Linked DNA regions of Daphnia pulex. The protein of the gene in region 3 binds, or shares a complex with, the protein of the main gene of each other region. Links are inferred from orthologs where the notes say so. Each region holds a gene or a part of one and is shown on either strand. Other genes may lie near its edges.

Region 1 (2,295 bases), on a different chromosome or scaffold from region 3:
GAACCGACCAGGCATCTATTGCTCTGCCCAGACCTAGTCACTCTCATGTTAATTTTTCGTCTATCAGAATATAGGCCCCACCCTTGTGTATCGTCTGGAGAGCATAGATGGCGTTCAACAATTCCGAGCTCAACAACTATCTAACCTTCTGGCAGTGGCGCTGAATTATGTTATTTATATATACCACATAATATAAATAAGGTAATAATATTACATGCACAATCTCTCATCGTGATTGACGTGATCAAGCTTAATTTGTTTAATTAGCGTCAATAAATGAAATCTTTCATTACCGAAAAATTGTTTTAGAATTCTCATTATTTTTTTACTATTAATTTTAATTTAACATTAATTTCCAGCCATTATATTTCTTCTAATGGTGTTTTATTTGCAACACTCCTTAATTTTCAGTTTATTTGTAACCTTTTCATTCTTAATTCCTCTCAACCCAATGCTAAGATGGCTAAGAAAAGAGTAATAAAGTGGAATGTTTTAAATAATTTACAATTTGGATGACATTTATTTTTCAGCAGTTAGGCTACATGATTCTTTCCAGTGCTTCCAACATTATAATTGAGTTTCCACGAACAACCTAAATTTACATATAAATAGTTAATGGTATTTGAATTTATGTATGCCATGTTAATTTTAAACATACCACCATCCCTATGTTATTTTTCGAACCATCTTTAACTTCTTCAACGGTTTCATCAATGACCAAGTTCATGAATGGATCAAAACCTCTCAAGATCCCAACAATGTTCCTACCACCATTCAGTTTCACTGTGAAAAACAATTCTTCAAAACAGTTTTCAATAATAATTTAACAAAAAAATAATACTTACAAGACATTCTTTTATCCATGTACCTGTACAAAAGAAGTAGAGATCATTATTAAAAATGTAAATATAACTTAAGCAACAATACATACTTCTTCAACTCTGGTGGATGGGCCTTGCTCATTTTGGTTTGAAATAACTAATATCTAATATCTACGTTGATGAATATATCACTAACTTCAAGCAACTAGGAAAAAACGTGATACACCAAGAAAGTTTGGATCGTTTTTAATGTCCGATGCGCGATGCCAAACGTTAGGAACGCGTGTTTGCCAGATATTGAATTTAGAAACTGGCGGCTTTGCGAGACCGGCGACGAGACCTGGCGGCTGGGCGCTGGCGCGCTAAGGAATTTTTTATACAGCTTGTGGCTTTTTTGCCTTATTAAAACAGGAAAAAAATTACGATCTTCAATTAATTGTATAAATTAGCAGCTACAATTCTGTAAGAAAATATTTTTTAGCAGTTTATTTCTATAGCAAAATGACTACCAATTACCTCAACTGGAATGGAAACTACACCAATATACTTTGAGCAAAAAAAAATAAACTGTGGAAGTTACTTTAATTAAATGTGTTTTTCTGTTGTTTTTTTCATTTTCTAGTTGATCTAAGAAACTTGTACTGAGATATTTGCACTCGTCCACAGTAATTCAGTGATTGACTCAAATTTACAGGCCCTTGTTGTAATAAACAACAGTTGGGGGATTCGGGGATTTTCGAATCTTTGCCTGAATTAAAAAAGAAAAGATGTATGTTAAAACAAGAACCACATTAAAACGCTATAAAAAATTACCTGTAGCTCTGGTTCCAGACTGTCAACCGAAATCGATGCTTTTTGAGGAAACAGGGCACAACACATTGGAGTAGCGAAAGTAAGTAATACGCCACCTGTAAGCCAAATAATAATACATAATTGGCCGTTTACAACTACATGATAAATAGTTAATGTTTCATACATAAAGTAACTTGAATAGGTGCCGCAGACCAAGGGAATCGCTTCAAGAAGCCCTTTCGATCCAAATAATTCATCAGCAGAGGTGGTAGGACTGCATATTATTGTGCTGGATGTTTTATTTTTATCAGATTACTATCGTATTACATGAATTACCCATTCCAGGAGAAGCCATTCCGATACGACTAAGGACAACTTGAGTGATACCCCATTTGGCAGCAATCGAAGATTCACCGAGTACATTTCCGTTCTCATCAGAAACTGAGATTCCCTTTTGAATTTCACTAAAAAATCAGTCGTATTTTAAAGCATTAGTTATCTTATGCGACGAGAAAATGTTTATCTTACTGCATTCGCATCAGAGGAATATTTACACAGTTAGCGGCAGCAACAGCTGCAAAGGGTACCAAACGCCCAATAATAGGAGACATTGACTAAAAATTAATTTCTCATAAAGTTATTTACATTATGGTCCATTATATCAAGTTAATATTTTTGATAC
Region 2 (4,009 bases), on a different chromosome or scaffold from region 3:
AGAGAATTTGAAGAAATTAAAGGTGTTCATTATTAAATAAAGGAAGTATAATCTAATAGGTAGAATTACTGGATTTTCGTATGATATGCATCAGGTCAAACTAAACTAAAACTTAAAAAACAGTTCCCCTTGAATTGGTGATGCACTTAGTGTATTTAATAATGCGCCAAAACTCTCAAACAATTATTGTTGGTTGCATAAATTGTGTGTCAAAAAATTCATTATTTAATATGATTTTAGCTCTTGCAATATCACAAATCAAAGGGGCAGTTCAATTATAAGGGGCATCTAAAAACTACAGTAAATAGTAATTATTTCATTTTTAGGCCAAACTCATATTCTTTTTGCTGAGGGTTTCTTTGAGCTCATTTCTGATATTTTCCATCACTTCTGGATTATTCTCTACAGTTCTGCTCAATTCAGTTAGAGCTGAATAAGCCATGGCTTGATTCAAAGGGCAGACTACAAATCCACTCAGTCTTCCCCATAGTCTTTCATACAAATTGTTCCTCTCTTCTACCGTAAAGTCCTCTCTTAAAGCTGTCATCAGAGGTTTGTAATTGCCATATCCCATAGCGTGTGATAAACCTAGGATTCCTGTGCCTGCGACAGCTCCTGCAAATGATGACAAGAAAAAATGATAGGTGCCAAATGGAAAAAAATGAAAACTGCCAAACTGAAAATTACCAATGACAGCTCCAAGAGGACCACCAGCTAAGCCACCAAGGAAGGTTGGCAAAGCAACAGTGGCTGAATCTTTTAATGGTCCAGCTAAGGAAACTGAAAGTGATTTTGTCCTCGACAGTTCCTCCAACAGACCTTCAATCAACTTGATTGCAAGAGTCTGAAATACATAAAACGTTTACATAAAAAAAAAAATGAAATCCTCTTTAATCTTGTCTTGAAAAAGGGGACATTATAATTTTATACTTCCATGGCAGTAGTCTATTGTTGTTACGATAATTGGAGTCACAAAAAATATTTTGAACTACAGACTAGAATGGTGATCATTAAGAATTTGCACTGAGTTCGGTTTAGTAGCGATAAACTTTCACTACTAATTTATCAAATCGAACGATAACAATGTGTAAACATGATAAGAAAAACGAAAAACTGCAACAAACTCAAAATAAAAAGAAGCAGACAAATTTCGAACGTGTGATGCAATAACAAACGGAGTTGCCGCTTATTTAAAAATAATTAAAATAAATATTCAAGCCATTTTCGACGGCAACTCCGTCTACAGTAAACCGGCATCGCGCTTTTTCGTACAAGCTGCGTATACTTCCGTGGCTTTCATTGTATAAGAAACGTGGAATTGCGACTGGTTTCTAGATTGTGTATAGGTTTTTAAAACTTTATTGGTGAGCATTGTCGTTTATTCTATTTCAAACTTTGTTTCATTGATGATGGTTTGTGTCTCAAAAGTAACTGTCTGGTGAATGTTTTAAGGCTAAACAAATAGTTTATTGCCATGAGAGTGGACATGCTTGTAAATGTCATGGCTGACTGTAAGCATTGGATGATGGAGCTATTATGTTCTAATTTTATTGTTTTAATTACCAGGGCCATAGCCCAGAAAGCTTAAATCAGGATGTCGGGAATTCCACCATTTTTTATTCCTGGTGTCACACCCCCAAATCCATGGGCAAATGCGGCCATGATGGCGCAAGCCCAGCAACAGGCACAGCAAGCCCAAATGGCTGCTGCGGTCCAAATGCAGGCTCAAGCAGCTGCAGCTGCTCAACTTCAAGCTGCTCAGATCCATGCAGTTCAAGCAGCCCATGCACAAGTGCAGGCTCAGGTTCAGGCAACACAAGGTAGTAATTGAGTACAAACGTTTATTATAACAAGGTATTTTATCAGTTTTATTTACATCAGGTCCTCCTGTAATAACTAGTTCGAAACAAGAGCAGATGACAGAAGAAAAAATGCAAGACAAGGCTCGTAAATGGCAGCAATTACAAACCAAACGTTATGCAGACAAGAGAAAGTTTGGCTTTGTTGATTCTCAGAAAGAAGATATGCCTCCAGAGCACGTCCGTAAAATCATTCGGGACCATGGTGATATGACCAACCGAAAGTTCCGTCACGACAAGAGAGTGTACCTTGGTGCTCTTAAATATATGCCACACGCTGTTCTCAAGCTCTTGGAGAACATGCCTATGCCTTGGGAACAAATCCGTGATGTTAAAGTACTCTACCACATTACAGGTTCGTTTCACTTATCTTTTCTTTATGTTGTATAAACGCTAATGGTATTCATTTGTTTTAGGTGCCATTAGCTTCGTCAACGAAATTCCGTGGGTCGTTGAACCTGTTTACATTGCCCAGTGGGGTACCATGTGGATTATGATGCGTCGAGAGAAACGAGATCGTAGACACTTCAAACGAATGCGCTTTCCTCCTTTTGACGACGAAGAACCTCCGTTGGACTATGCTGACAATATTTTGGATGTAGAACCCCTGGAAGCCATTCAGATGGAGTTGGACTCGGACGAAGACAAACCAGTTGCTTCTTGGCTGTACGATAGTAAACCTTTGGTCGATACTAAATTCGTCAATGGTACCACCTATCGCAAGTGGCAACTCGAAATGCCTCAACTGGCGACACTCTACCGTTTGGCGAACCAATTGTTGACTGACCTCGTCGATGACAATTACTTTTACCTCTTCGACCTCAAGTCATTCTTCACCGCCAAGGCGCTGAATATGGCAATTCCGGGTGGACCTAAATTCGAGCCACTTGTAAAGGACGGAAACACTCAAGATGAGGATTGGAATGAATTTAATGATATCAACAAGATTATCATCCGGCAACCTGTTCGAACAGAATATCGTATTGCCTTCCCCTATCTCTACAACAACATGCCCAACTTTGTTCATTTATCTTGGTGAGTAATACTGGCTTTCAACTTGTGCTTTAATGGCTGAGATATACACCGATATCCAGAAGATACTTGGATGTTGGTGGCTGAAACAGTCGTAGATAAAAAAAACCAAGAGCTCTTAGTCTTTACTACATAAAACTATATTGAGCCCTACAATGATTATTTCTCTTTTAGGTATCACACCCCAAATGTGACCTTCATCAAGACAGAAGATCCCGATTTGCCGGCTTTCTACTTCGATCCGCTCATCAATCCGATTTCGCATCGCCGTACCGAGAACAAGTTGGCAGAAATGTCTGAGCAAGATTTGTTACCCGACGATAGCGAAGAATTTGAATTACCAGAATATGCGGCACCACTGCTTCAAGTAAATTTTCCATCATCTGAAATTTTAGTTAAAAAGCAATTTTAATCGATATTTCTCTTGACAGGAATGGCCCTTGTATACGGACAACACAGCGAACGGTATTGCGTTGTTGTGGGCTCCCAGGCCGTTCAACTGCAGGTCGGGATTCACTCGTCGTGCACTGGATGTTCCATTGGTCAAAAACTGGTACCGTGAACACTGCCCACCCGGACAACCGGTCAAGGTGCGCGTTTCATACCAGAAGCTATTAAAGTACTACGTCTTGAATGCGCTCAAGCATCGACCACCGAAAGCCCAGCGCAAGCGTTATCTTTTCCGGTCCTTCAAGTCGACCAAATTCTTCCAGCAAACAACTTTGGATTGGGTTGAAGTCGGCCTCCAGGTAAATATTAAACTTTTTCCTGTTAAGAGTCCTTTATAATGATGAGTTGTGCAGGGGTCATGAAATTACCCATAACATGTTAGGTAGACATTGAAAGTCGGGTCTGGCCGTTTGCTAGCCAACTTTCGATGGGACAACGCACTTACTGATATTAACAATCCTCTTAACTTCACATTTCATATTTTTATATCTCTTCCCAAAGACTTAACCCATTTCTTTGTTTGAACAAATTTAGGTCTGTCGTCAAGGATGGAATATGTTGAACTTGTTGATTCACAGGAAGAACCTCAACTACTTACATTTGGATTACAATTTCAACTTGAAACCCGTCAAGACCCTTACAACCAAGGAGCGTAAAAAGTCACGTTT
Region 3 (2,381 bases):
AATGGGAAAATATTGTGTTGGTAACACCTACCATTTGTACTGGAATAGTCAGCTGAGTATGAAAGTATGACAGTGGCACACCCCCAATAATGTAGATAGCCAACTAAATAATGGCCAAGGTTCATTTTTGAATCAGCAAAAACAGTGACACACAAACATTCATACAACCTCCTGGATGTTTGCAGGAAAAAAAGTACAGCAGCTAATAGTGATAACTCAGGGCTAGCTTTATAAATAGACAATATTTTAACAATACAGAATGAATAAAATTTTGTTAAAATTGTTCAGTTACCTAAAGGATTGTGAGTGTATGGTGATACAAAACTAATGTATGAGGTTACAAGCGTAGATAATTGATTCTTCAACACAATCTTCCACATCATTGTTATGAGAACCAGGAATGTATAGAATACTCCAAACACATAAAAGTGTGTAAACCAACTTAATTTAGCAGATTAAAATAAATTTTTAATTTTAATTGTAAAGGAATCAGCAGTAGTAACTTTAATACCTCTTCGGAATAAGGATAGTTCTGATTGAACTGCCAAATACCTTACCTTCACAACTTTTCCCATAAGAGTAGAGATCAATTATAATCTTTGGTATCCACTTAGTATCAACAACAAACACAAGAATACCAAGAATGGAACTCATGCTCAACAAAATAAAGATGGTAATAACAATGCTTATTGTGATCATGGCCGGTGTTGAGACTATTGGCTATCTTGAAGGAATGGCTGAGTTATTAATTCGTTTAGATTGAAAGCATAGTCGGTTTTCAACAGGTTATGTAAAAAGAGATTTGATTTTACGTAAAAGCACAACTGGTTTTTCGGGTTTCTGAAGGCGACCCCGTGCCATGAAGTCTGAACGAAAAATTGAAAACAAATGATAAGAGGAAGGGGGCCAGGGGGGGAATTCGAAAGTATTGCCACTTGCCAGATCTTAAGAATAATCCCTTATTAGAAATAAATTTTATTTTACTTTTAAAATGTTTTATTAGTAAAACTTTAAATATTTTATAGTTAACTATACACATTTTTATACTGTTAAATATGTTTATATTCCTTGGGAGTTGGGAATGAATTTGTAAAGAAAGTGGATGAAAATTTCACACACAGATGTCGTGTTACTCGTGAAGTTGACAGACGCATTATTTACCTTTTTCGGGTTTCTGAAAGGAAAGGTTTGAAAACGTGAAGCGAGATCTATTTCTAAGCACTGTTCAGCTTTTTCTTTTTTCACGACCTTTATCAATCAAACAATATGTCTTACATGTTACAGCATCTTGTTAATGGTTGGCAAGTAGATCAAGCAATTCTTTCAGAAGAGGACCGTTTAGTGGTAAATCAAACTTTCTCTAGTTAATATTACTATCAATTTAAACATGCTTTACTACAGGTTATTCGTTTTGGTCATGATTGGGACCCAACTTGCATGAAAATGGATGAAGTGCTTTATCAAATTGCAGAGAAAGTCAAGAACTTTGCTGTCATCTATTTAGTGGATATCACCCAAGTTCCTGACTTCAATAAGATGTAATTTCATATTTACATTGTATGAATGAATCCCAATAATGATTTTCACTGTTTTTCTATATAGGTACGAGTTGTATGATCCTTGCACAAACATGTTTTTCTTCCGTAACAAACACATTATGATAGATTTAGGCACTGGTAACAACAATAAAATCAACTGGGCAATAGAAGATAAACAAGAAATGATTGACATTGTGGAAACAGTCTATCGTGGAGCCAGAAAAGGTCGAGGTTTGGTTGTTTCACCGAAAGATTATTCTACCAAATATCGCTATTAACTGTGTTGTTCAATTAAATGACACTGGATTAAAAACTAATAAATGATGACACTTTTGAATCCCCATTTTCATAAATTGTTTGTCTCATAAATTGACCATCAAGTAAACACATCGTACAACAATCGTTACAACAATTACATTATATTACTTACGGTTAGGTTTCCGAACAGTGATTTAACTTACCATGAAAATTTATTTCAATTATTTTATATTTTACGTATACCGTACGTAGTTATTAGCAGGTAACGAATACTTCCCAAAAAGAACTCGAGATAGAGTGACATGTCCATTTAGTTTAAACTTAAGCCACTAGGTGCTCGACACTATGGCGGCAGTCTGTTTCCTGCCTGTTTCTTGTTTCGCCCCGTCAGATTAAATGAATGTAACCGTTTCAATAGCTCGGTTAGAACAATGTGTCATATACCCCTAAGTGAAGACATCAAAACTTTTTACTTATGAATGTGCTGATCCCCATGAAAGTACCATAAAGTGAAGAGGATAACAGGTGTTTACAGCCGGTGGCCGTCCAACAACGAACTTGTACTTATTGAACTCCGTGTGCACC
Region 4 (2,535 bases), on a different chromosome or scaffold from region 3:
TTTGAAAATTGACTTTTACCAATTTTGAATTAAATACTGTAGGTGAGATGTGACACAGTGACACACTTGGCAAATTAAAACCGTATGTTTTATAGTTACGTCAGAGAATGCCCTCGACCCCTCGTATGAATATGTCCTTATCTTCTTTTTAAAAAAATTATTCCACGAACAGAACAGCGAAACTCATTGTGGATCCCAAGGCGAGAACAGCCCAAAAGTTGACATTAAATGAAAAGTATTAGCAGTATTAGCTGTGATTCTGTGAATTTTTCCAAGCAGCAAGCATCAGTTGTTGTAAGGAAAGGAACGGCAGATCGGCGCAGAACGGCCACACGCCACAAGGCCACAGCCCACAGGCCCAGTCAGCAGAGTAATAGAAAAATATATTAATTCTACAGGTTTTTTGGCATACGGGAGGATTAGTTCAAATTTCGCCAATAGATGGCTTTTTGGAATTTTGAACTGCGCGCGTAGAAATTGGAAAACGGTTTGAACTGCGCGCCTCGAAAATGAAAAACAGTTTGAACTGCGCGCGTAGAAACTGGCATCTAGGCTCTAGCGACCAAAAGTAAAAGTTAACTGGCATCTATCTAGGCTCTAGGCGGCCTAGAGCCTCCGCCACAGCACACACCTAAGTCACACCCCAATGTTTGAATGTTTGACATAACTTTTGAATGTTTCGATATGTTTTAATTGATTTCGATATGTATTATTTTTTATTAGTATACGATTTCAAGTAAAAATATCGAAATAACTTAAACGAAGCGTAAGAGAGGGTGGGTGTTGTGGTTTGGTTTGTTCTAACTGTTTACAGATTTATCTGTAACTATAACTAATTATTTTTTATTTCATATTGCTTATGAAAATAATAAATTTTGCTGTTACTTAAGCTAAAAAGAGAGTGCGACGTGGGGTGGCGGGGCGAAGCCTCCGCCACACCTAAGTCGCACCCCTTATGATTCACAGATATTTTTTGATGTTCCGATAGGCCTTGTTTGATTGATACTATTTAATGTAAAAGTATAACAGTAATTTAAGCGATTAACGAAGCAAGAGGGGGGGGGCGGGGGTGGCAGGCGAAGCCCGTCCCCCCTCCCATTCACCATACCGATAGATTCATGTAATTAATTTTGAATTTCATGTTTACTTTACTTTTGCTTTTTTAAATTTTTAATTGATATTATTTCCTACGGGAACCTCGCAAACCGGAACGGGATGCCAGCATAAAAAAAGTAATATTCTGTTACTCTGGCTTGGCTGCTTGGCTGCTTTGCCTGCTTGCCTTTGCCGCCCTTGTCTTTTTGAAAAATATCGGAAAATCCCTACGAGGAAATAAATATCTGGCAACGTTGTTGGCAATTGAGCGTCTGTGTTCGTTTCTTCTTCAACAAAAAGTGTAAACTCAAACAACTCTCATTTAGAAATTTGATAATTTTCCCGTGTGGAATCAATTAAATATCAATTCAAGATAAATGGCAGCCCGAGCACCTAAAGTCCAGAAAGTGATGGTTCAACCCATCGTAAGTTTTCACCACTATCACTTCGATTTCAGCACGAAGATTTATTAACCGGCACGTGTGTCAAAAATGTCTTTTTCCAGAACTTGATTTTCAGATACCTTCAGACAAGATCAAGAGTAGACATTTGGCTTTATGAGAACATCAACATGCACATGGAAGGACACATTGTTGGATTTGATGAGTACATGAACATTGTTCTCGATGATGCAGAGGAAGTCTACGTCAAAACAAATGTCAGAAAACAGATTGGTAATGACGTTTTCATTTACTCACAATTATTCTGTCTTCTAAATGCTGTTTTATTTTAGGACGGGTGTTGCTGAAAGGTGACAACATTACTCTAATCCAAAATGCTGCAGGAAGTGGAGACGACTAATCTTCCTATATTAATTGGTCAGAATGCATTCCCAATTTGTGTTCTGTCGTGTATTACCTTTGATTAACGGGGAACTGATTTTGTGTACATCCAATCTTGATGTGCTGACTGATAAGAAAAACATGATGCTACAACCACACTTGAATATTTCATTCTCAACATCTATTTATTATTTTTTAGTTTTATATAAATTTCCCTAGTAATATTTTCCAATATTTATTTTGATGAAGCCTAGCCACTTTTACACATGAAAAATGTCTCCGGCAAGAGAATAATTTACACAATGACAAGAATAATCATGTTTTGAAAACAAGTCATTTCATGTGGACTACAATAATAAAAATAACCTATTGCACAACATTGTGTAACCACTTAAAATAGAAGGTACAAGTATAAAATCAATAAAAGTATCAATGATATCAGCCTGTTAGGTGGGGGGTGTACAACATAGCAAAGAGTGAAAACTAGCAAAATTTCAGACCCTAAAAATAAAGTAGTGTTTAAAATAATTACACATACATAATTATCAATTTATTATGACACTTCGATAACAGAGAAGCTGTTGCAATTCAAACTGGAATTGCTATTGTGTCTAGAACCGCAGCCCGAAGGCGAGGGTGACGGGTTGGACGACGAATC
Region 5 (3,355 bases), on a different chromosome or scaffold from region 3:
TAATAAAAATAATCACCTTTCAGAATATCAAGACAAATTCGGCCAAGTTTATCAATATTAGGGTGATAAATCTTTGTCATGAATCGCACTTTAGGTGCAGACATTGGGTACTCTTCAGGCAAAAATAGTTCCAATTTGAAAACACCACCTTCAAATGGAGAACCTTCTGGACCTATGAATTTTAATCAATATGAACTAGTCAGTACCAGAATGACACTTTAAGGTTGCAATTTAAGTTTACAGACCTGCAACCACAACATGGAAATAACGAGCATTTTGTTCATCTGGAACTGCACTAATGCCTGGGACAGGCTCAGCCATCAAACGTTGAGTTTCCTATTGATCAAATTAATGACGAATATACTATATTGCTAGAGAATACTACCGGTCCCATAATAGGATCGGGAGAAAAAAACACGTTGCCTCCCACTTTGATGCAAGTCTACAATTAAGATTTGTGTTACCTTGATTATCCTTCTAGGTAAGCCTGCCATTTCGCATCAATTTGTTGAACAAACAACGAGTATAAAATAAGATTTTCGTATAATAGATGGTAACTTTAAAGCCAAATAGAGAAGACGGAAAGTTTTCACGCTATACGAGTGCCCTATTGCTAATTTAAGACGTTGTCAAATTGTTTGGTGACGAAAATCGGTAGGAGATCGACCCGGCCACACGGGAAGAATTAGACATATAAACATATTATTTTTCAAATTAAGACGATTTATTTAAAATGAACAAAGTTTATTTGAATTGGTTTACAAACGGAAATACACGAGAAAGCTAAACAAAAGGTATTGCTTTTCAAATGCCGGAAATGAGTTTAAACCTTTATTTCAGAACCGTAGAAAATGACCAGTAAAAATTTTTTGGTTAGATTAATTGGCTGTTCTGTTTGCGGAATATTTTAATTATTTTCATGAATCATCTAGAAAGAATTTCGACTTGAAAGTTGAAATAAATTGAAAAAGGGCAAATTAACTAATAAGGCATGATTAAGATTGAATGGCAGGCTTCAACACATAAAATTTTTTATTTTATCACTTTCTTCTCCTATCCTTCTTCATGTTAATTTTATTCCCTTTTTTTATGCAAAATTGCTAGAATTTAACTCGGCAAGTCGGCATCCGGTACTGATCTGACGTCTGACCTCCATGTTGTTTGTTTTTAAACTGTCGTCTGCTAGTATTGTTCGTTCATTGCTTTTGCGTGGTTTCATTCACTCAGCTTCATTCTGTTTTAAAATATAAACCATCAAGTGTCAAACACGGAAAGAATGGATCAAAAATTGGCTAACAAATTATTTGAAGAGGGCGCGTTTTTATTTCTTCTTGGCGTACCAATTGGGACTGAAGTAGGAATAGATTTCAACAGTTGGAGAACCGGCGAAAAATTCAAAGGCATAAAAATGATACCCCCTGGAATTCACTATATTTATTACAGGCAAATAAGTTATTTTTTGTTAGAACAGTTGTGTGAGTGTAACATTCACTGTGAGGTACAAAATGTGATTGTATATTTTTATATAATTTCTAGCTCTGTAAGCAAGGAAGGTTCCGTAGCGCCAAGAACAGGTTTCTTTTACAACTTCAATAAGAAGGAAGTTGTGGTCCGTAAGTGGAACCCAGAAATAGAAGATGTCATCAACGATTGTAATTTTATTTTATAAATCATTATTTAATATTAATTTATTATTTAGTGTTTATCCATAATAGGTACTGATGAAGAAAGAGAAAGTTTAAAAGCCAATTTAAAAAATCTTGATCAGCACTTGGGTCCATATCCATTTGATACCTGGAAGAAATGGATGTCTCTCAGCAGTAAATTGACAAGTATATTTTCTTATACATTATGTAATCTGTACAAAAATAAAATGTCTAACAATTAATATTTAGCTGATGTAGTTGGGAAAGTGGAACCCCTTCAGCAAAAGATTTCATCAGTTACAGAATTAATTTCATCAGAAGATGTACCAGCACCAGCAGAATCTCCAGTGAAAGAAAAAAGAATAAAGAGGTCAAATTATGAAGATGAATTACTACCGCACATGCAACCAAAGCCAGGCACAGCGTTAAATTTTACCAAAGTCCCTGTTGATTTCTATCCAGTAGGATCAAGTGCCATGGAAATCACTAAACATAGCATTGACACATCTTATTTACTGGAACAAATGCTGTCAACTTGGGAAAGGTCGGCATTTTTTTAATATTTATTTTTCGGAACGTAAAAAATACCAAATAGTTTGCTGTATTTAATAATAAATTATTTTCTTGTTTAGACCCAATCAAATGCTTGCTGAACTTCAAATGGCGTTTTTGTGTTTTTTGATAGGACAAGTTTACAGTGCTTTTGAACACTGGAAGAACGTGATTCGTATTTTTTGTTTTGCTGATGAGATTCTGTTGAAAAATCCATCATTAATTGTGGAGTTCATTGGGGATATCTATTTTCAGGTGATGACATTAGAAAACACAATTTTCAACTAAAATTATTAATTAAAATATATTGTTTTTTAGATGCAAGAAGTATCTCCAGATTTTTTTGTTGACATAATCTCATCAGAAAACTTCCTCATTCAAACTTTAAGAGTTTTGTTTGGAAATATTTTGGAAAATGATGCTGTTGACAGACAGCTTAAAAGAAGAGCCTCACAGTTGAAGCAATTTGTAACACAGAGGTTTCAATGGGATTTTGATGTTGAACCAAATGATGAAGCACCAGTACTAGTTGAGTTGGATGAAAGTATGTAATAATATTAAGAGAAAATTGATACTTCAACCACTTCAACCATGATATACTGTACACAAATTTCCTCAATTCCTCAATACATGTGTAATGTGTTTACAAGCTGAAAACCAGTAGTAATAATAACTAAATATATGAAAAACTACTAAAGAGATGGGCAGTAACTACCACATGGTAGATTGCTTGTTCAGTTGCTTTTCTTTCCAACAATTAGTGGGCCAACATTATCACCAGTCTCTGTATTATGCTTGTTGTGTGAACCATCACAGTAGGGAAACTAGGAAAGGATAAAAGTTATATAAGATAAATTAATTTGATCCATAATAAGTTCCTTACCGAAGCACTACGCCAGCATCGGCAGAATACTTTCTTGTCCCCTATGTCTTCTAAGTCAAAAGTGTCAACTACTTTTGAATCACCCTTTTTAATACTCTGATTAACCACACTGCCCTGTATAAAGAATTGTATAAGAAATTAAACTTCAGATTATTATCTTCTAAAGTCAAAATATATTGAGAATCCATACCTTTTTATCACACTTCTTTTTACAAAATCCAGTGCCTGTTACTTTGGCATAGATGAAAAGTGATATACCAACAGCAGCAACCCC
Region 6 (2,828 bases), about 1.6 Mb from region 3:
ATGAAGAATTGGGGCCTGCTGTATACAAAGCTGACCCAGCAGGTATATATCTAAAATAGGGTGTAAAGTTCTCAAATTGTATGCTTTATTGCTGTTTTACTTTTTTTTCAAGGATATTACTGTGGTTATCGTGCTACTTCAGTGGGTGTTAAACAAACCGAGGCATCGTCGTATCTTGAGAAGAAATACAAAAAGAAACAAAACTACACACATGATGAAGTTATCCAGCTTGCTATTACAACTCTGTCTCATATCCTAACTGCTGATTTCAAGCCATCTGATATTGAAATTGGAGTTGTTTCTAAGGATCAACCAGGATTTAGGTAAGAAAATGCGCAAAATATTTAAGTTTAGGAAATTAATGTGACTGATCTGATTGTTATAGAATTCTGTCGGAAACTGACATCGATAAGCATCTGACTGCAATTGCCGAAAAAGATTAAGTTTGATTTTGTAACTTTTTCTTTCAACATTGGAATAAAACGAGATAATAAAACACATTTTCCGCTGTTCGATTTTTTTATTTCATACAAAAGTGAGAGATAAACACATACAATTATTTTGCTCCAGGAGTACCAGCCAAAGGATTTCTTAATACTAATATTACAGAATCTCCACGTAGGAACATTTTGGAGATAAAACGGTCCTTGTTGACTGGTTTGCTCTATAAAATAAATATACAACTGTCACTGTTGATAGATGAATGAATGAATGCAGAAATAGTGAAAATTACCTTCTTCTTTCCTTTCCCTGTTCTGGGAACTTCAGTCCACATTTCCTTGACATTTTCTAGAACCATATTGCAGTGACGGTCAAAAGCTTTAACACGTCCCAGTAGCTTTTTGTTGTTACGGCAGTTGATCAAGACCTGAGTGTTGTTTTTTACACTCTGAGTCAAAACTGAAAGTGGTCCAGTGTTGAATTCTTCTTCTTCCCGTTTGGCCAATTCCTCCGGTGTCATCTCCGACTTGGGTTTATTTGCAACAGCCCTATGGAAAGAAACATTTATTATTTAGTGCTCATACGAAACTGTCAAGTAGAGAAAAATCTGCAGACACGGAACACTGTAACTAGCTGAAAATATAGATTTAAAAATTTTCTATTTTGAAATTGAACTTAAGCTTTACTTACGCCATGATAAATAGAAGGATGTAAACGGATAGAGAAATATTCTTTGGAATATTTTTGAGCCCGGCTTCGTTTAACTTTTCAAACCGTTATTCACTTGTTTTTCGTAAACAAAACGTACATGCTGCGTTGTCATATTGTATTAATTAGCATTAGACGGTTGATGCTATTTTATGTCTTATTTGCGATTTAATTGCCAAAAATTGTTTTTTAATGTTGACTTACATTTTTAAGAGACACGTTTCAATTTCTAATAATTGTTGTGAAAAGAAAAGAATGAAATTTGCCAAGAAAAACATTTACAATCCCAGACGTCAGACGTCTGGGACTCTGTACTGGAATTCGTTTTAGTCGAGAGGAAAGGAAATACAAACCTCAGAAAGTAGAGTCAAGAGAAAACCGAAGCGGTTGACAATTGTCAGCCGACAGATGTTATGTTATGTAGCATAGCTTGTCTAATGCCATATATGGACATATTCCCCCCGTATGCACAGACTATTCTTTCTCATGGTCCCCAATGGAGAACGCTTTCCAGCGTTGTTGATAAGTCATCCTGAAACGGCGAAAACTTTCGAATCACGCTGTTATCGGCTGTTCATTGTGCGAAGGCGATCTATGGCAATTGAAACTTTTTGGTCTAAATTATAGAAACAGAGAAAGTTGTCGACACCGGTCCCGAGAGTTTCAGATTTTTAATACATAGGGGAGGGGAGGGCAGATTAGAGGGAGGGGAAGTAAAAATGTGAGTCATCGATGTCTGCCCATAAAAGGTCATCCTCCCCGAGAAACTGAATGAAAGAATAAGTGTGCAACTGGCCCAATAATTTTTTTTTTTCGTTAAAACACTCATGCGAGATGCACACCATTTATTAGGAAGTCGGAATGATCATTTAGAGTCGGCAACTTTTTGCTCAAGCAGAAAAATCTGCGAGTAGAGGATTTTACAGAAAAAGTTACTTTTCGTAACTCTCTCCAGGTTTGTGGTTTGGGCTCCCCTTTTTCGGGTTAACAAGCGCCCGATATGGACAACCAATCAGAGAATGTGCAACCAGTACACACAAAATTCTCTACAATCGGCATCATCCTTCAATCGCTAAGCAAGCAGAGACCCCTGGCGGTTACCCGAATTCATTTAACGACATTTGAGATTTTACATAACAGCAAACAGAATAAGAGTCATACAAATTATTTTTAAAATGATAAATGATGCGCCTATCATTATATGTTTTATTTGTGATAAATTAGTGAAGTTTGTAATATGGTTCGAAATAGGCATCGTTTGACGGCGCTGTATTCCACCCCCAGATGACGCGCTTTTCTGGGTGTGGACTGGGTAGCGCCAAGTTTTCTCAAGTTTGGGGAACAGCCGCCATTTTGCAGTGCGAGGTCCCGGCCGGTGTAGAGAAGTCTACTCTGAGTTTCCCCTCTTCTTTCGCCGCGCCACGAGTAAAATCTTATCGAGGGCATTTTCTCTCTCTCTCTCTCACTCGCACCACTCACTCCCCCCAGTGCCGTCTCATCCCGCAGTCATTCGGGTTGATCTTTCAGTTTAGGCGTCTTTGAGCTTTGCGTGAAATTTTTCTAGACTTTTTTCTTAGTCCAAAATGGTGAGTAACGTTGATATTGTCATGTCGTTAGAAATGTGTTTGCTGTATACGTGTGGAATTCTTCCAATTTCTGTCCCAAAGTCCTCGATTCAG
Region 7 (2,624 bases), on a different chromosome or scaffold from region 3:
CAGATTACAGAGATACGCCTAGTTTTCGTGACTTTCTCTCCCCGGAAGAAGGATTCGCTATTGTTCAGAATTTCGTGATTAAATTCGTATCTAGCAAAGTCCCTGCAATAACAAAGAGAGAGACAGAAATTTAGATAGAGTTATATATCACGATGGGCTCTATTTTGCATAGATAATTACTTCATTATATACAATGATCTTCTCGGTAATAGTGCCGTGACCAAGACTTGGGGTCGCTGTATATGTATGAGCCTCATCACACTGGCTGTGAGCAGAGATATGCCCGATATGGTGGGGCCACAAAACTATGTTTAGAGAAATATACGAATAGATTAGAATGATAATTTCCAAACGCTGTCATCTATCATACCTTTATGCTGTCCAGATGTGGTTTGATGTGACCATTCTCAGCTAAATCAAGCACATGGACATGCTGCATCGTGGTAGTTGAAAAGGCAAAAGCTCTCAACCGATTTATAACACAGTCATTGACTTGATTCCAAGTAGGTTTCTCTGTTTCCCTGTATCCGTGGATAGCCTTTTGGGTTTCGAATAACAAATGGTGGTCATTCAACAGTCAGACAACCTACGTGAACACGAAATTTCAGACTTACATCATCCCAATGGTCATACTGATACCGGGACCTTTTGAACTTCACCTCCAACTCTTCCAATAGGTTATTCTCTTCTTCAGCACTGATGAAATCTTTGTAGACTTGAAAGTCTTTCTCAAGCATTTGCCTCGTCGCTTCATCGCAGTCGGGAGAGAATTCTAAATTTGGAGAGATCCCGCGGGTCTCTGCGGGAGTTGAGCATGTGCTTCTTGAATGGGAACAAGTAGCACTTAAAGGAATTGCGCGCTTCAAAACTGCACGAATATTGACCAGATAAAGCACCATATCTCGATGCTAAAATATTCAACCATTAAAAGTCGGACATCAAAATATTTCAAATCGGCAATTTTCTGCAAAGAGCAGACGACGTTTGCGTGTGTGTACGTGACATGCCATATTTCGTTTTGATTGCAATCAAATGTAAAAAATGATGTCATTAAAAATGACAGACGGTACTTTATTTAATGGACATGTATATTTAAAATAAATAGATTTAACAAAATTGGGCTGGGGTTAGTCACGCTAATATATTATTTCGTTTAATGTTAATACCTCAAAACCGACCAAATAAAGAATTATACCGCATAATGGAAATGTAGGGCCTATCTGATTTTCAAATTTATTTGATGGCCAAAGAAAACGATTCATCAAAACTCTAGCCTGCTGAGTTCTTCTCCTCACCAACCATTTGATTAACGTCTCGGGAAAATAGCCTCAGGCACCCCTTCTCGATTTCTTTAGTCTTTTTCAAATAACCAATTTCCATACATAAACAAAAATTATATTACTCTATCGAAATCATTAATCACTGAAACATAAGTTTACTACAGTTTGTATGAATTAAATCTGAATAGAATGAATGAAAATACTTTGTTGATATTAAAGTAAAATAAACGGCAACGCTGTATTGCAGACGATTTTTACAAGCCAAATACAAAGTGAAGCGAGTGAAGAAATCATGGCATCAACGTTAGATTCTTACGTTAATCGTGAGTTTTAATTATTATATTGTTTATTATTCACTGAAAAATTGTATCTTTCTTGTTCGCAGGTTCCGTATGTGTTATCACGAGTGATGGGAGGAATTTTATTGTAAGTTGTAACGCCCGATCACAAGGCATCATCCTCACTCAATAAACCGTTTGAAATAATTTCAATGTATTCTTTTTACAGGGTATTCTTAAAGGATTCGATCAGACTATCAACCTTATCATTGACGACAGTCATGAGAGAGTGTTTAGTTCTACCCAGGGAGTTGAACAAGTCCAACTGGGACTGCACATCATCAGAGGAGACAATGTGTATGTTTCATCCACTTATTAGCTGTAAAATAACTCAATCATAACTATTTCTTGTTGTAATTTCAGAGTTTTAATTGGGGAAATTGATAATGAACTTGATTCCAGACTCAATTTATCAGAAATAAGAGCAGAACCACTAGCTCAAATCCACCATTAAAGTTTGCATTATTCCATCATGATCACTTGAAATACAATCTTTTTTACAGCTTTGTAGAATCATTCATTTTTTTACAATTAGCTCTAGTTTAAGCAGTTCTTCTTCAACTACTTTAAGGTTTATGATGGTGTCTTCAGGGATCACTGTTACCTAATTAAATGAAAAATCATGAAAACAAGTTTTTACATTAATAAAAATCAGACTTAATATAATTTACTTGGTCGGTTTCAGTAGAATCATCTGGAATGGTATCTTCTAGCAAACAAAGAAGAGCATCATTTTCATAGGTTGGAAAGTAGTACCTAAAAGTTTATCCAATAAAATAGGATCCACAAATAGAAAATTTTGAATGTATCCGGCTTACTGTGACTGATCCCAAACTGCCCGATCGGGAAGTTTAAAGTGACTGAAGTTTTGCATGTGCTCTCTCAGTTTATCCCGGGATTCAAACTGCTCATCGCAAAGTATGCATTTCTTTTCATGCACTTGTCTCCTGACGTAGTTGACAATCTTAATTTGCTGATAGATACTAAAGCTCTTTTTCAGGCCCAG

The links.
Region 1: thioredoxin-like protein 4A (region 3) and probable small nuclear ribonucleoprotein G share a complex: the UniProt entries of both Homo sapiens proteins name them as parts of the U4/U6-U5 tri-snRNP complex. The link is inferred for Daphnia pulex from reciprocal best matches to the Homo sapiens genes TXNL4A and SNRPG.
Region 2: thioredoxin-like protein 4A (region 3) and pre-mRNA-processing-splicing factor 8 share a complex: the UniProt entries of both Homo sapiens proteins name them as parts of the U4/U6-U5 tri-snRNP complex. The link is inferred for Daphnia pulex from reciprocal best matches to the Homo sapiens genes TXNL4A and PRPF8.
Region 4: thioredoxin-like protein 4A (region 3) and probable small nuclear ribonucleoprotein E share a complex: the UniProt entries of both Homo sapiens proteins name them as parts of the U4/U6-U5 tri-snRNP complex. The link is inferred for Daphnia pulex from reciprocal best matches to the Homo sapiens genes TXNL4A and SNRPE.
Region 5: thioredoxin-like protein 4A (region 3) and protein AAR2 homolog share a complex: the UniProt entries of both Homo sapiens proteins name them as parts of the U5 snRNP complex. The link is inferred for Daphnia pulex from reciprocal best matches to the Homo sapiens genes TXNL4A and AAR2.
Region 6: thioredoxin-like protein 4A (region 3) and small nuclear ribonucleoprotein Sm D2 share a complex: the UniProt entries of both Homo sapiens proteins name them as parts of the U4/U6-U5 tri-snRNP complex. The link is inferred for Daphnia pulex from reciprocal best matches to the Homo sapiens genes TXNL4A and SNRPD2.
Region 7: thioredoxin-like protein 4A (region 3) and U6 snRNA-associated Sm-like protein LSm8 share a complex: the UniProt entries of both Homo sapiens proteins name them as parts of the precatalytic spliceosome. The link is inferred for Daphnia pulex from reciprocal best matches to the Homo sapiens genes TXNL4A and LSM8.

What each region holds. Positions count from the first base shown.
Region 1 is NC_060026.1:11,525,926-11,528,220, forward strand, and holds probable small nuclear ribonucleoprotein G, read right to left. Parts: upstream 1,122-2,295; 5' UTR 964-1,121; coding exon 932-963; intron 869-931; coding exon 846-868; intron 784-845; coding exon 659-783; intron 593-658; coding exon 539-592; 3' UTR 501-538; downstream 1-500. Other genes in the region: sideroflexin-1-like, read right to left, coding at 1,510-1,569, 1,635-1,729, 1,798-1,887, 1,950-2,077, 2,142-2,227. UniProt on the Homo sapiens protein: Plays a role in pre-mRNA splicing as a core component of the spliceosomal U1, U2, U4 and U5 small nuclear ribonucleoproteins (snRNPs), the building blocks of the spliceosome.
Region 2 is NC_060027.1:2,049,206-2,053,214, forward strand, and holds the start of pre-mRNA-processing-splicing factor 8, read left to right. Parts: upstream 1-1,209; 5' UTR 1,210-1,364; intron 1,365-1,566; 5' UTR 1,567-1,594; coding exon 1,595-1,820; intron 1,821-1,881; coding exon 1,882-2,214; intron 2,215-2,275; coding exon 2,276-2,894; intron 2,895-3,065; coding exon 3,066-3,258; intron 3,259-3,322; coding exon 3,323-3,640; intron 3,641-3,875; coding exon 3,876-4,009. UniProt on the Homo sapiens protein: Plays a role in pre-mRNA splicing as core component of precatalytic, catalytic and postcatalytic spliceosomal complexes, both of the predominant U2-type spliceosome and the minor U12-type spliceosome.
Region 3 is NC_060018.1:1,947,734-1,950,114, forward strand, and holds thioredoxin-like protein 4A, read left to right. Parts: upstream 1-1,134; 5' UTR 1,135-1,266; coding exon 1,267-1,344; intron 1,345-1,401; coding exon 1,402-1,538; intron 1,539-1,602; coding exon 1,603-1,816; 3' UTR 1,817-1,881; downstream 1,882-2,381. Other genes in the region: polyprenol reductase-like, read right to left, coding at 32-226, 293-441, 512-699. UniProt on the Homo sapiens protein: Plays a role in pre-mRNA splicing as component of the U5 snRNP and U4/U6-U5 tri-snRNP complexes that are involved in spliceosome assembly, and as component of the precatalytic spliceosome (spliceosome B complex).
Region 4 is NC_060026.1:14,103,919-14,106,453, reverse strand, and holds probable small nuclear ribonucleoprotein E, read left to right. Parts: upstream 1-1,347; 5' UTR 1,348-1,472; coding exon 1,473-1,520; intron 1,521-1,600; coding exon 1,601-1,769; intron 1,770-1,828; coding exon 1,829-1,896; 3' UTR 1,897-2,035; downstream 2,036-2,535. Other genes in the region: serine-rich adhesin for platelets-like, read right to left, coding at 2,431-2,535. UniProt on the Homo sapiens protein: Plays a role in pre-mRNA splicing as a core component of the spliceosomal U1, U2, U4 and U5 small nuclear ribonucleoproteins (snRNPs), the building blocks of the spliceosome.
Region 5 is NC_060019.1:11,511,752-11,515,106, reverse strand, and holds protein AAR2 homolog, read left to right. Parts: upstream 1-1,154; 5' UTR 1,155-1,276; coding exon 1,277-1,443; intron 1,444-1,536; coding exon 1,537-1,652; intron 1,653-1,715; coding exon 1,716-1,832; intron 1,833-1,895; coding exon 1,896-2,190; intron 2,191-2,278; coding exon 2,279-2,453; intron 2,454-2,516; coding exon 2,517-2,750; 3' UTR 2,751-2,855; downstream 2,856-3,355. Other genes in the region: ubiquitin-conjugating enzyme E2 N, read right to left, coding at 17-172, 246-336, 465-494; CDGSH iron-sulfur domain-containing protein 1-like, read right to left, coding at 2,933-3,022, 3,082-3,195, 3,272-3,355. UniProt on the Homo sapiens protein: Component of the U5 snRNP complex that is required for spliceosome assembly and for pre-mRNA splicing.
Region 6 is NC_060018.1:305,154-307,981, reverse strand, and holds small nuclear ribonucleoprotein Sm D2, read right to left. Parts: upstream 1,525-2,828; 5' UTR 1,354-1,524; intron 1,285-1,353; exon of another isoform or gene 1,253-1,284; 5' UTR 1,137-1,252; coding exon 1,132-1,136; intron 990-1,131; coding exon 734-989; intron 665-733; coding exon 557-664; 3' UTR 501-556; downstream 1-500. Other genes in the region: proteasome subunit alpha type-6-like, read left to right, coding at 1-42, 113-323, 386-443; cofilin/actin-depolymerizing factor homolog, read left to right, coding at 2,733-2,735. UniProt on the Homo sapiens protein: Plays a role in pre-mRNA splicing as a core component of the spliceosomal U1, U2, U4 and U5 small nuclear ribonucleoproteins (snRNPs), the building blocks of the spliceosome.
Region 7 is NC_060019.1:330,985-333,608, forward strand, and holds U6 snRNA-associated Sm-like protein LSm8, read left to right. Parts: upstream 1-1,493; 5' UTR 1,494-1,572; coding exon 1,573-1,603; intron 1,604-1,665; coding exon 1,666-1,706; intron 1,707-1,787; coding exon 1,788-1,915; exon of another isoform or gene 1,916-1,981; coding exon 1,982-2,072; 3' UTR 2,073-2,124; downstream 2,125-2,624. Other genes in the region: alpha-ketoglutarate-dependent dioxygenase alkB homolog 7, mitochondrial-like, read right to left, coding at 1-102, 181-305, 371-538, 615-899; zinc finger protein 277-like, read right to left, coding at 2,136-2,222, 2,290-2,374, 2,437-2,624. UniProt on the Homo sapiens protein: Plays a role in pre-mRNA splicing as component of the U4/U6-U5 tri-snRNP complex that is involved in spliceosome assembly, and as component of the precatalytic spliceosome (spliceosome B complex).